2 linked regions of the Lonchura striata genome follow. The protein of the gene in region 1 interacts with the protein of each later gene in a pairwise test. Links are inferred from orthologs where the notes say so. Each region holds a gene or a part of one and is shown in the gene's direction. Other genes may lie near its edges.

The links.
Region 2: the proteins of NTAQ1 (region 1) and MIF interact in binary tests that used the Homo sapiens proteins (3 or more experiments, as listed by UniProt). The two-hybrid records come from large-scale screens. The link is inferred for Lonchura striata from reciprocal best matches to the Homo sapiens genes NTAQ1 and MIF.

What each region holds. Positions count from the first base shown.
Region 1 is NC_134603.1:12,563,064-12,570,336, reverse strand, and holds the start of NTAQ1 (protein N-terminal glutamine amidohydrolase), read left to right. Parts: upstream 1-4,272; 5' UTR 4,273-4,305; coding exon 4,306-4,379; intron 4,380-4,953; coding exon 4,954-5,053; intron 5,054-5,692; coding exon 5,693-5,743; intron 5,744-7,273. Other genes in the region: ATAD2 (ATPase family AAA domain-containing protein 2), read right to left, coding at 3,725-3,931. UniProt on the Homo sapiens protein: Mediates the side-chain deamidation of N-terminal glutamine residues to glutamate, an important step in N-end rule pathway of protein degradation.
Region 2 is NC_134620.1:3,542,690-3,549,875, forward strand, and holds MIF (macrophage migration inhibitory factor), read left to right. Parts: upstream 1-4,350; 5' UTR 4,351-4,479; coding exon 4,480-4,587; intron 4,588-5,407; coding exon 5,408-5,580; intron 5,581-6,412; coding exon 6,413-6,479; 3' UTR 6,480-6,680; downstream 6,681-7,186.

The sequences.
Region 1 (7,273 bases):
AAAAAAACCACACCACATTTCCAAGAAAAGACCCAAAATCTTTGATTTCAAAATTGGTTCAGTGATCCCAGTAACCAAAATCTCACCTATAACATGCAGTTGTTCCACCCCTTGGGAAGGGCCAAAAATTACACTACAAAAGGAGGGGTTTGGGGCAAAAAAACCCCAAAACAACAACAACCAACCAAATAAGCAAAAGAGAGAGAGGAAAGTCCCTCTGCTTGCTTTGGATCAGCTGATGGACTGTGTCACTCCTTATCCCTGAAGGGACACTTTCAGGTGAGCTTTGTGCTTCCCAACTGTCTTGGAACAGACCTGGGAATATTCACTTATATCTACTGCTAATAGATCTCTGTAACTATTCCTTCTGTAACAGCATATTTTAACACTCTGTAGCTGGTGCATTTACCACCAGCAATTCAGAATCTGCTTTCCTGTCACTTCAATTACCTGCCCTATTTGCAAATCTGGATCCTGCAAGTGCCTACTGAACTCGGCCAGGCAGCCAGTGTCCAATGGGCTATAATCACAGCTTAGGCCCAGCTGCCCCCAGCTCTTCTGATCTCTGAGGAGCAGCTGGAACCTAAGGGGGTTCATTTCTGCTAGATTTCTATAGCTTTAATCCAACAAAAAAAATTCCTAGTACTGGGATTAAGATCTTTTTGGAAGAGTTTTCCTCCTGTCTCTGTTCCATTTATAATGGCATTCAGAGGGATATAAAAATACTTCCTTGCAGAGGGTAGCATTTATCCACAGAAAACCAAAGGGAACTCAGCATATAGTTCTTCATGGATGTTCATCTTGTTCACATTGATGTTTCTGCAAGGAGGATGCTATCGACTTTTACTATGTGAGGAAAGCTGCGATGACCATGGGAAGCAGCTTGTTCCATTTACAACCCAAGGTCTCATTGTGAGTATGCCAAACTAAATCTCACACTAAAAAGGGCAGAAAACAGACTGGACTATTCTACTTCTTCACACTAATATTACCAAGAGATAATTCCACTGACTGATGGAGATGATGAGTGAAGAAGGACCACAAAGATGTTGAAAGGTTATGCAGGGAGAAAATTACAAGGGCCACAGCCCAAACACAATTTAATCTAACTACTGCTGTAAAAGACAACACAAAACATTTGTACAAATAAATCAGCAAGAAAAGGAAGACTAAAGAGAATCTCCATCCTTCACTTGATGCACAGGCAATGGCATATGGCAATGGATGAATGGATAAGGAAAAGGCAGAAGTACTTTGCCTCAGTCTTCAACAGTAAGACCAGCAGTCCTCATGATACCCAGACAGGGACAGAGAGCAGAAGGAAGCTGCCACAATCCAGGAGGAAACAGTCAGTGACCTGCTACACCACTTGGACACCCACACTTCTACAGGCCCCAAGGGGATCCCACAGCACACAGTGCCACATCCAGTTACTCCTTGAACACTTCCAGGGGTGGTGATGCCTTTCCCTCCGCAGCCTGTTCCAAGACTCAACCACCCTTTTTGTGTTAAATTTCTTCCTTATGTCCAACCGGAACCTTTCCTGGTGCAGCCAGAGGCTATGTCCTCTTGGTCTGCCACAGGTTACCTGAGAGAAGAGATTGATCACCCACAACCTCCTTTCAGGTAGTTGTAGAGGGTGATAAGGTCTTCCCTGAGTCTCCATGCCTCCAGGTTAAATACCCCCACCTCTCATCTGCTCCTCATTACTTTCTAGACCTTTCTCAGCTCTTGTCTTTCTCAGGATACATTCTAACACCTCAATGTCTTTCTTGTCTTGAGAGGTCAGAACTAGACACCGGATTCAAGGTGTGGCCTCACCATTGCTGAGTACAGGAATCACTGTCCTGGTCCTGCTGATCACATTGTTTCTGATACAGGTAAGAATGCCCAGACAAAAAGGGAACTCAAATATAGTTCACAAGAACAAACTTGTTCAGCTTTGGGAATTATAAACCTCCAAGTAGGGTTATAGACCTGGAGAAACAGGGCTTCCAAAGGGGTAGTAGCCACTTTGGATGTCACTGGGAGACTCACTCATGAAACTTTCTGGGACTGGAAGCCTGGAAGAGAATAAAACCAGCAGATGTTTGATAACCTTAGATCTCCTGTTGTATGCTTCTTACTGCCCAGGGATGAAATGAGCTGTATAACTAAACATAGACAATATGCTGATATCAGAAAAGAACCCCAAAAGCTGCCACTACCATGTCCTTGCACATCAAGACACGAAAGAGGCATCAGGACTTGAACATGAAGCTAGCACCAGTTCTCATGATCTCTCTTGGAGCACTTCTACATTATTTATACACAGACCCACAACAGAGCCCAGCATCCTATAAATGGGGTGATGACTTCACTTCAAAGCACAGGAAAGGTTGACAAAAAGGAAGGAAAAAACCCAAAAAACAACCTTGCAACCAGTTTCATAACTATGATTCTGCTTTGGTTTCAGGCATAACTTTAATTTCCTCATTCCTGTCTTGATGACATGCCAGCAGTGTTATCTGCCTAATGCTGCACAGCCTTCCCTCCTGTGCAAAGGCTGAACGAGCTCCTGACAAACATTTCTAGTGGAGACTGCAAAAACAAAGCTGTGATCTTTAAGAAGATCCCATGACTCTTTGTAAGGGGGGGGGGGGGTAAAAAAACCCACCACTGCAAGGACTTTTTTCCTTTTTAGTTCAGTAGTCTTGAATAAAATGGCACAAAATGTAAAAATATAAAATTAATTCATACAACTGAGACTCATGAAAGACTTCTGCTGGAAGGAAACAGAGTCTTTGAGAAGCATCACTCCAAAGTAGGGCTCCCCTGAAGAGCAGACCACTTCTGAGTTGGATCAGGTCTGCCTTTATTTGTCACAGAAATGCAGGACAGCCTGCAGAGTAGAGCCTGACTTGGAAATAGCAAAGTTTTAGTTTTTTGAAAGCTATATTAAAAACAATGGAAAGTGAAATGATTCAGTTATTACAGTTGCAATGCTGAGATGCACAGGCCACTTGATATCTATCCTTTACCATCTTCTAGTAGGGCAGATCAAGATTATCAAGAAAGATTATCAATAAGATAATCAAGAAAGCTCAAGTAACATTTTCACTGGTTTAGGTTATGCGCTTTAATTAAGTACAGATGAGCCCCGATTTCTAAACATTTTCTTTTTTAGAGCATACAAAGCACTATTTGGATACAATTGACTAAGGAGTATTTAGCAGGCCCTTCGGGCCAAGCGGAACGCACTCAGAGGTCCCATGTATTTCGTGTCGCGCTGGCTTTGATGCATTTCTGTCATCTAAACAGAGAGCGCTCTAAAAGCATTACCGCAACCGATGCAAAGAGCTTTCTAAGATCTTCTCAAGGTAACTTTTTCAGATAGGAATTGCACCAAAATAAACGGGGATGGGGAATGGCATACAACACACCAAACCAGAGGCGATGCAGGTTAGTATTGCCAAAGACCGGCTCTCAGCACGCTGCCACAGCCCCCGCACCAGGGCTAGTGCCGAGCCCCTTTTAGCCGCGGGGCGGCCGGGAACGGCGGGCGGGCCGGCTGCTTCTTCACGCACCCCCAGCCGCAGCCGCCTGCCCCAAACACTCGGTTCTCCCCTTTCTCCTCCAGGGAACACCACTCCGCAGCGCTTTCTCCGCTCCTCCCCTCCGCCCGGCCGGGCCCAGCGCAGCGCCGCCCGCCAGGCCGCGCTCACCCCACCCCCCCCGCACTCACGGCCTCCTCGGCCCTCCGGGCGCCCCTGGACACCGCGGCCCTGGCGGACCCGGAGCGCGTCCATACGCGGTGGCTTCTGAGCGCCGGGGGCTCCAGCGAAATGAACTCGGAGCTGGACTCCAGGAGGTCGAAGGGGGGCCGGCGACAGCGGCTGTCGCGGGCAGCCATGCGGGGCGGGCAGGCAGCGCTGCTCCGCAGCACCACCATGGCGGGGGGAACGGGACGCGCCCCGCGCCCGCCGCCGCGCGCGCCGCCCGGATCCCTCCGCCGCGCTCCCTCCCGCCCGCTCCGCCTGCGGCGCCGCTCCCGCCCGCGCGGCGGAAGGGCACGCGGCGCACTGCGGCCGCGCGTTTGGCGCCCAAAACTCGGAGCGCTGCGGCGCGGGGCGGGGCTGGCCCGGCTCGTCCCACTCCGCTCCGCCCCGCCCGAGGGTCCCTGCGCCGCCGGCCGCCCCTCCGGCTGTACCTGCGAAGTGCCCGCGCCCAGCCGGGATGGCTGCGGTTTTCTCGGGAATGGCGTAGCGGCTGCCTCCACCGGGCCCAGCGCTTCCTGCTTCGCCCTCAGCCCCGCTCAGAGCAGCCATGGCGCGGCCCGAGGCTGGTTATGAGGCGGCGGTGCCGCCCCGCCCCGCCTGCACCTACAGCAGCTGCTACTGGTAAGGGAGGCGGGGGCGGCTGAGCCGGTGCCCCTCGCACGGCCGCGGGGCGCGGGACAGCCCGGGGCGCCGGGTCAGCCCGGGGCGCCGGCACAGCCCGGGCCGCCGGGACAGCCCGGGGCGCCGGGTCAGCCCGGGGCGCCGGGTCAGCCCGGGGCGCCGGCACAGCCCGGGCCGCCGGGACAGCCCGGGGCGCCGGGTCAGCCCGGGGCGCGGGACAGCCCGGGCCGCCGGGACAGCCCGGGGCGCCGGGTCAGCCCGGGGCGCCGGCACAGCCCGGGCCGCCGGGACAGCCCGGGGCGCCGGGACAGCCCGGGCCGCCGGGACAGCCCGGGGCGCCGGGACAGCCCGGGCCGCCGGGACAGCCCGGGGCGCCGGGACAGCCCGGGCCGCCGGGACAGCCCGGGGCGCCGGGACAGCCCGGGCCGCCGGGACAGCCCGGGGCGCCGGGACAGCCCGGGCCGCCGGCGGGAGCGGCGCGGCTCTGGGCTGAGCACGCTCAGGGCTCGTTTCTCGGCACGAAAAATGCAGTTGGAGGAAAACAAAATCAACGACCGGTTATTGTGTTTTGCAGCGAAGAAAACGTTTGGAAGCTTTGTGACTACATCAGGAGTCAGGATCGGTACCCTTTAGAAGAATTTTATGCTGTTTTCATATCCAATGATAAGAGGATGGTGAGTCAAGGGGATGCGATCAGAGCCAGCTAGGGAAAAGCCCGGGCCTTCCGACCGCAGCCCGGTGCAGGTGAGAATGGTCCCAGCCCAGTGTTGGGAAGTGAGCCTTTAGCCCAGCCTGTAGGTGAGATACACCCCAAACCTGTTTTGTAGCTCACTTTGCCTCGGAGGTGTGCCAACCACACCGCCTGAGATCTTTTAATTATGCACTGCATTCAGGGCAGTAGAATGAGGCATGGTGACCCTGTGAGCTGTGGGAGTAATTCTGTTTGTAATCTGTCAATATAGGAGAATAGTTATCTTTATAAAATCATAGAACCATTAATAACCATAAGGTTGGCTAAGACCATCAAGTCCAACTGTTAATCTAGCACTGCTGTGTTCATCACTAAACTATATCCTCAAGTCTTTTGGATGTTTCCAGGGATGGTGATTCCATCACACTTCTTTTTAATGTGGTCCAGAATAGTATCTCCAACTTCATGCTCCTGAGAGAGAAACTAGAAAAAATTTCTTACTGCAATACAAATGTAAGCTGAAGAAATTGATAGCTTAGCAAAGAACTAGCCAGTTTGCCTGAAAGGAATCTGTATTAATCTGAAAGATTTTATTCACTTCAGGTTCATTTATAACTTTCAGATTCCACTCTGGAAGCAGAAATCTGGACATGGAGATGAGCCTGTTGTCTGGGTAAGACATTCATTACTCTCAAAAATTTTGAGTGTGTGTCTCTGTAGTTGATAGCTGCAGGATCACACATGGGCATGGAACAATCTGTTCCATCTGAACATAAAGGAACACTTTCTACTCCGAGGGTGATGGAGCATTGGAGCAGGATGCTCAGAGGGGTTGTGGAGTCTCCATGCTTGGATATTTTTAGAAGCTATCCAGACACAGTCCTGGGCAGTTTGCTTTAGGAGAGTGTCATTGAGCAGCAGGTTGATGTCCTTAAGTCCCTTCCAACTTCACACATAGCATTGTTTTGTACTAATATTTATAATTATTTTACAACAGATTTATAAATAGCCTAAATCTGGTGCTCCTTTGCACCCTCCTTCATAAATTAATAGCAGGACAATCAGTAAAACCTATAGGTGACAGATCTTAATTATAGTAAGAATGCATAATAGATTTGTGTAAATTATTATCTGGGTATTGAGGCTGCCAGCTCTGTGGTATTGTAGGTAGATGACTCTACTTGTAAGAAGTAGATGGATGAACATATTTATGTAGGCCTGCCAGATGATAGAAGAGTGTAAGTTATATGTGTTTTTAGGTGTCAGCAGTGAAACTGACCCATAAACAGTGGCTTTGAAGTGTCATTTGATCAGTCAATGTAGTTCAGTAATTGCTGATGCAGAATTCCTTGGTATCCTTGGTATCCTTATATAGTCCTTTCAGTTATCTGGTACAGAAAAAACTATTTCTTGTGGCAATTTCTGTTTCTGAAGTTCTGCAGAGTAATCTGCAAACTTGTGAAGTTTTCTGATTTCTGAATCATTCACTTTCTTCCAAAATATTGGTAGCTTTCCAGTACCAAAAAAAAAACAAAAACGATTTGGTTTAAAAAGAGATCCAAGTGCTACAGAGAAGACCTAAAAGGGAATAGCAGAGTCAGGAAACACCATGGCAGAATGTGGATTTCTCGTAAAAATTCAAGCATTCAAAGGTCTTTTAACTTTGACATTTCAATGAATGATAGGTTGTGTAAAACTTGTAAACTAATTTTTCTTATACTCTCTAATGGGTTATTCTAAATATTGTTGAATACAGTTGTGTATATATATACTGGTCTGGTGAAGCAGATTGCCCAAATCTTTTTAATTTAAATTTCTTTGTGGTTTTAATATTGAGAGTGTCAAAAGACAGTGCTCAACCCTTTTTGTGAGTGGATTAAATGTAAAGTAAGTTGTTAGGGGCTACCTTCAATTTAATTTTGGAAAATGGCAGTGCACATACCTGACCTATAATGTAACTGCAGTGTCCTCAAATCTCCACCTGTATTTCTTACAAGTTAAGAAGTCAAAACTGCACTGAATAACCTAAAAGTCTTGATAAAATAGTTGCATTGAAAAAGTGATGTAGTACCCACAGATAATTTCCTGTAGCAGCTCTTGAAGCTGGGAAAAAATGTCTTACCCCTGTGGTCCTCCTGATGCGAGCTGTTCGCTGGTTTTTCAGTGGTGTGCTGGTTTTTCAGGTGCTTCTGGCAGCTGAACA
Region 2 (7,186 bases), on another chromosome or scaffold:
TCAAGTCAAGAGCACGTGGTGTCCAGACAGGGGAGAACAGGGCCAAGCAAGTGGTGCCTCAGCAGGATCTCCTTGGCTTATCCTGTACTGCTGTGGTCCGATGCACCTTACACCCAAACAAACTGTAAATGATGGCCAAAACTAATTACCCAGACAACTCCTGGTACTCAGGCTAGCTTGTTTTACCAAGAGGGTTAATTGCTGCTGAGTTCCAACGATGCGCTGCTAATAAACGTGGGTAAGAACAGCACAGAAGCCAGATGAATGCCAGAGGAACTGATCCCCAGATTCCCCAGTGTGTGGATCTGACACTGTGTATTAGCAGCAGGGAAAATCGTGGGCAGGTCATTAATATTAACATAGATACTTTCTTCTGTTTTCCTGATATCAAGAACAAAAGCAGGATTAGGCTGTATTTTGTTTAACGAGGTGGATGTTGATTTGGGCCTCTGCTGTGTCAGCTCACATTTACCTCAGCAGGGAAGACTGCAGCAGGAGCCAGTGAGGTGCAAAATCTCTCTGGAACGCAATGCGGCAGCAGGACCATTGCACACCCCCTCGCCCCTGACCTTCCCACACAGGCAGGGAGAGCCTGGTGGCTCGGAGGAGGTGCTGCAGATATTACAGGTCACTGAGCTCCTGGAGCACCTGGACTAGGAAGCCTAAAATCTGTGGAGTCTTTGTACTGGCCTTTGACACAGGAGTGAGTATCTTGGAGTAGAATGCAAATCTAGACAGTAAGATGTTAACAAATTTAAGCCTTGCATATCAAAAACATGCACTTATTTTCACTGCAGTTTAGGTACATAAATGCCTTCCTGGATTTTCAAAACTTTTCTTAATACAGCAAAGAAAATAATATTAATTTTCTTCTTCCAACAGTATTTAGCAGATCTCTCCTGATCAAGTGATGTCCTTCGGTGGCTCCACAGACCCTTGTGCTATGTGCTTTCTCTACAGCATTGGAAAGAGAGGGGAGCAGGAGAACAAGGTCTGGTCCAAACTGCTTTGTGATCTGATGAGCAAACAGCTGAAAATACCATTTGACAGGTGAGCTCATACAGCAATTTGTCTGACATGACTTTCCACAGACTGTTAAAACTATTCATCCCAGGCTGGTCCTTTGGTGTTCCCTATTAATGTGCTGATTAAAGAGATTAAATGCCAAGTCAACTGAGCAACTCCCCAGCTAAAAAGAAAAAATGAGCCACTGCATGAGCTGCAATGCCACTGTCCAGAAGCTGCAGAATTCCTTGGTTAAAATGATGTAGGTTCAGGCATGTATGTACCCACAGACATCATGTGCAAAAGACCAGGTACAGACACAAGAACGTGATCACTAGGAACTCCAGGATGCAAGTGGATGAGGCATTAAAAGGGGCAGGAGGAAAGTGTAGGGAATGCTGGGCTCCAGGACAGCTTGGATGGAGACAGAGATCTCTGCAGGCTGCTCTTGGGATATCAGGTGTATTAGGGATGGTGAAAGGTCTTGCTTGGAACTGCCAGACGCAGCTGAGGCCTGAGGGGATCGGAGAGGGGAGAAACAAGGGGTAGAGAGGATGTTCTAGGAGAGGGTGGAAGTTCCAAGAGGGGGGAAGTTCCAAGAGGGGGGAAGAAAGTTCCCAGAGGGTGTCTGGCCCCTCGGAGCCCCTTCTCAGGGGGCTTCAAGGTGGGCTGGAACAAGACTTGGGCCAATGGGGTCACAGACACCTGATGTTTCAGGGGAGGGTTACAGGTGTGGGATGAACAGTACATTTTGGGGGTTGAGATGGAACAGTCCATTTGACTTTTGGACTTATCTGTAGGTAAGGGTATTGTCCAGCCAGTAGGGAGGATTGTTTTCATCCTGGCTGTACTATTGTGAATAATTATATTTATCCGTCCTTCCCAACAGGAAAGGAGTGTAAGACCTTGGAAGGATAAAGCCCATGGGGAGATCTGCAGCATGGCCATGTGTCCTGGTGCAGGAGCACCCTGACCAGCCTGCAGCACTCTGCTCTCAGCTGATAATGGTGCCTGTCTTCCCTTCCAGAACCTACATCAGCTTCTTTGACATCAGTCCTGGCAATGTGGGCTGGAATAACACCACCTTTGCTTGAGGTGCCCTTAGGTGATCACAGCTTATCCCTGAACACTCATCATGGTTTGAGAACTGCAGTTCCAGTCACCTTCTGGCATCTGCCAAATGCTGCTACTCACTGCTGTTTAATATCTTGCCTGCTGCTTAAATAAAAATGCATCAAAAATCTTATGTCTGAAACCTTCTTGTTATGCTGGGAAGAACTGTAGTTGAGATGAAGGGTGTCTTCTCAAAATACTCTCTTAAGAGAAGCTTTTCTTTCAAAAAACTTCAGTCATATATGAATATTCCTTTTGCCTTTGTCCTGTCCATGCTCAAGAGATACATCTCAAGAAGAGATAAATATATCTTGACCTGGTTTCAAGATATATTTAAGTTAATAGATGTGCAAATGTTGCACACGGACCTCCCTTCAAAAGGAGAGATAACATTGTTATCTCTTATTTAAAAGGAATTGATTGCAGTCCAGGTCTTCTTTAGGCCTAACACTACAGGGATATCTAGCTGAGTAGCAGGAAAACTTGTGCTGTGTCTCCCAGGCCTCAGCACAGGCAGAGAGAGTGAGTGGAAAAAACCACTGTTCACTGCTGTGCCCTCCCCTTTTCATCCATTGAACAATTTGTAGTGACAGTGAAGATTAGAGCACAGCTCAGAATGAGGCAGAGGCACAGCAAGCCACAGTAATTCCCAGGGACTGAAGTGGTGAATTAATTATGAAAGGAAAATTTGCATCCAAATATTTATTATTTAAGCCCTTGGTCAGATAAGAACATTTGCTTCCAAAGTAAAATAAAAGATTGAGTAGAGATGTTTCCTGAAATTCTATAGTTAAGTGTATTGTGAGTTTTTTCTGGAAGAGCAAACCTTCTAACACCCGTTTTCTGAACTCTATTGTTAACATCCCATTGTGTCCCTACCACAGCTTTGCTTTGCAGCCACAGACTTTAAATACAGACCTGAACCTCAATCAATAAAAATGCTTTGTTGGGATAACAAGCTGCTTTGGTGAAAATGTCTTTCTTAGTCAGGGAGGCAAAAGAGAATTAAATTGCAGATGTCTCTCCATCGAGTGGCAGCATAGCCAGGGGCTGCCACTCTGGGCTGGCAGGCCACAGGCCAAGCACACCAGTTGTGAAGTTGCTCTCAAGCTTTTCTCCCTGCACAGGTAGAAAACACCACCTCCATGCAACAAACCTGGGAGGCAGGAAGGTGAGAGGAATAAGTAGGACTATGCAACAGCAGGGAGCTGAGGATATCAAAGAGGGGAAACTTAATCAGTTCTTAGTGGCTGTTCTTAAGCACTGTTAATCACTAGAAAAGGAAGTGCTCCAGTCCTCAGCATTATAACCCGTGTCACTCCAATGCACTCCTGTATGACACCATCCCTGACTCCTCATTCAGGGCTACGAGTGTTCACGTCTGTAACATGGATGTGTTCATGTCTGTAACATGGGCAAGCTCTCTAGCAGCACGACTGCTGTGTGTGCAATGTCTGGGCAGAGAGGGCTCCGGGCCAGATCCTATTTAGCCTTCCTGTGAGTCATTTCGTGAGCAGAGCAGCGCTGCCGCCGTCGGGGCAGGCAAGAGCCAGGGTGGGGAGCCATGCCCTGGCAGCCTACGTGCACCACATCACACAGCGCAGCATGCGGCTCGGCTCTGCTGCCTCTCACCTCCCAAAAGGCACGCACCAATTCATTCCGAAGCAAAACGAAACTCACTTCTGCCTTTTTCCAGTAGAAAAATATGATGCGCAAAGTGGGAGGCTGAGGAGCAATAGGTAACTTTTAATTCGACTGAAATACATTAGATAATAATTAATAGGCAGCAAGGGACACGTTTCTGCTTACACCGAGCTAAAGCTGTACACACCATCAAGCAAAACCACTACAAGTGTTACTTTATTTTGAAAAGGAAAAAATTTTCCGAGTCAGGGCAAGCATCCCTTTTTGCAACCGCCAAGCCAAGGCCTATATCCCTCTCTGGGCCGAATCCCGCAGAAATCAGTGGGAGTGCCCCAGAGCTACTATCGCAGCGTTCATACCACGTTATGTATGAGCTGCCCAGCGCTCCCGGACTCCGTTCCAGGAAGGAGCCTGCAACAAACCCTCAAAAAATGTTCAGTAATAGAAACAAAGCCAAGGAATAACGGCGGAGCGGGGGGAACCTCCGGTCGAGAGACAGCCGCGGGAAAAGTCAGCACGGCACTGCGGGGACCGCGGAGCCGGTGCGAGCGTGTGTCCCCGCCCCGCTCCCTCCCCTGCCTGCCGGGCGGGGCCGCTTTACGTCCGGGGCGGCTTGGCGCACTAAAAGCGCCGCTGACGCCTCCCCGCTCCACTGTGTCGGTCCCGCCGCTCGCTTAGGTTTGCATCGCCGGCCCCGCCACCCCCACCGCCGCCACCATGCCCATGTTCGCCATCCACACCAACGTCTGCAAGGACGCCGTGCCCGACAGCCTGTTGGGCGACCTCACCCAGCAGCTGGCCAAGGCCACCGGCAAGCCCGCGCAGGTGAGGGCGGGGAGCGGGGCGACACGTGCGCGGCGGGCCCGGCGGAGAGGCGGCGCGGAGCGGCCCGCGGCCGTCTCCGCTCCCGCGGGCCCGGGGCGGGCGGGCCGCGGCGGCCGCACAGCGCGGCGGCGGCCCCGCTGCTCCGGGGGAAGGAGCTGGTGCCCGTTCCACGCCGCGGCGCCGCGTGTGCCGATGCCCGGCCCCTGGCGGGAGCGGCACCGGGCCGGCGGGGGCGCGGCGCTCACGTAGCCGGGGATGTGCTGCGCCTGTGCTGGCGGTCGCGATTCGAGCGGCGGAGCTGCGCAGTGGCGCGGACGCACCCGGGCAGAGGCTCGGGCAGACCGAGCGCTCCGAGCAGCTCCCGCCGGCTCAGCCGTGGGACACGGCCCCTCCCGGGCCAGACCGCGGCAGCGCCAGGAGCCCGATGTGACGGAATCGCTGCCCGGCTCTCCGGCGGGTTTGATTTGGGATGTGAGCCCTGGCCCGCAGGCAGTTCTGGGGCCTTTATCTCGCTCCGCCCCGCGCGGTGGCGAGGCTGCGGCGGGCAGCAGCGCCTGCCGCGCCGGCGGCTTTGTGCACACACAGCCGCGTTCCTAAAGCTCAGAGCCGGGCCGAGGGTCCCCGCAGCCCCCAGGGCCGTGCCCCCCATGGGGGCTGCCGGGCCTGAGCCTCCCCTGGGGCTGGGAGGGGCGCAGGGGGCAGCACTGAAGAGCTGCCTGACCCCAGTACAACTGCTCTGTGAAGAGTTGGTACCTAAAGCAGATTTCCGTCAGGAGAGGGCATTTCAGACAGCCTGTAACAGAGTGCTTCCCTCCCGCAGTACATAGCTGTGCACATCATACCTGACCAGATGATGTCCTTTGGTGGCTCCACTGATCCCTGCGCGCTCTGCAGCCTCTACAGCATCGGCAAAATAGGAGGGCAGCAGAACAAGACTTACACCAAGATGCTGTGTGATCTGATCTCGAAGCACTTGCATGTATCTGCAGACAGGTAAGGCTGGGACATGGTTTAACCATATTTACCTGGCTTTCTGAAACCGCTTTGAGAAGTCTGTTTAAAAATTTAAAATGCCAGGAATAAATCCATGTGTTTTGGAAAATTCCAAGTGATTACTTGCAGCACTTTCACGTCCACATAAGAATTCAGTGCCTGTCTCTTTCCCTGGAGAGTCCCCTGTTCAGTGGCTTCCTGCTTCTGAGAGTAGGGAAAAACACCACAGCACTGACAAGCTGCCCAGTGTGTCTTTTGCCTCTGAGGTGTGATGTCTTGCCCTCTGGGGAAGCAAGGCTGAAAGCAGGAGCGAGGAGCAGTAACAGGCTGGAGCTGAGACAGAAGCAGAAGGCAGCAGGCTGAGAGCAGCTCCCCTGCAGGCTGCGGAGTTCAGCGGTGCCTGTGCAGCTGTGAAGGATGGGAAGAACCTGGTGCCATCAGGGTTGAAGGGAGACAGCAGAGCCAGGCCTGAGGGCATGCTTAACTCCCAAGGCTGCCAGTCTGTGTGACACATGTGAGGGCCTGCAGGGCTCAGAAACAAAAGGGGCTGATCTCCGGAAATTCTTGACAGGCTGCAAAACAAAATCTGTCTGGTGTCTGGACAGTCCCTGACTGCATAATAATTGTATTTTAAAAAAAGAGGAAAAAGTACAGTTTTGAGGACTGAGAAATACTGAAGCTGTTTGGAGGCTCCACCAGTTTTTTTTGTAAAGATGAAGCTTGATGCTTTTTCAAGCAGAAGAATGGGAAGCACTCTCCCCTGTTATGTTATCCCAGCTTATATAAATGAGTTAATAAGGTCATTGTATTTCTTCCTGTACCTCATCTGCAGGGTCTACATCAACTACTTCGACATGAATGCTGCCAACGTGGGCTGGAACGGCTCCACCTTTGCATAGAGCTTTCCCTTCTGTCTGAAGAGGCTGTTCCTGGAGCTCCCCTCACCCTGCCCTGTAGCAGAGACCGCAGCACAAATGGCCCCATGTTGCACTTTGTGCACTCTCACAGATTGATGTCTCCTTGCTAGTGTGTTTAAATATTGCTGCTTCAACATTCCTCTGTTTTCTCTGTGTAGAAAACAAATAAAGATTTAGAAGTAAGCTATGTGTGGCGTAGGCTTTGGCAGGTTGGGGATGGAGTTGGGCAATTGCTAACGTATCTGTTTCACTCTGATCCTAAAGTAAACAAAAGAAATGTTTTGGGTTTGCCTGTGTTTCTTAGACACAGTATTTCAAGCTATGGTGGTGGTGCCTGGGGCTGGTTCCTGACACCACTCCAGTGATTTTTACCTTGCCTTAGGTAAGGCTGTAGGTGTATTCAGGGCTGCTTGTTGATCTGAAGTTGGTTTTTGGGTTGTGTCTGCAATTGCTGCAGTTCTTGGACCAGCCCTGTGCCTGCTGCTTCAGGGCAGCTTTCCTGTGAAGATGTGCTCACCTGTGTGTGGCCAAACGAGCAAGGAAGGAGTGCTTTTGCTCGCCGAGGGGAAATTACCCAAATTGCTACACTGTGGGTAATACATCGCTATTACTCGCATTGCTACACTGCCTGCTGCAGGCAGCAGGGAAGGCCCTCAGTGCCGCAGGAGCTGTGCAGGGGCCTGCAGACT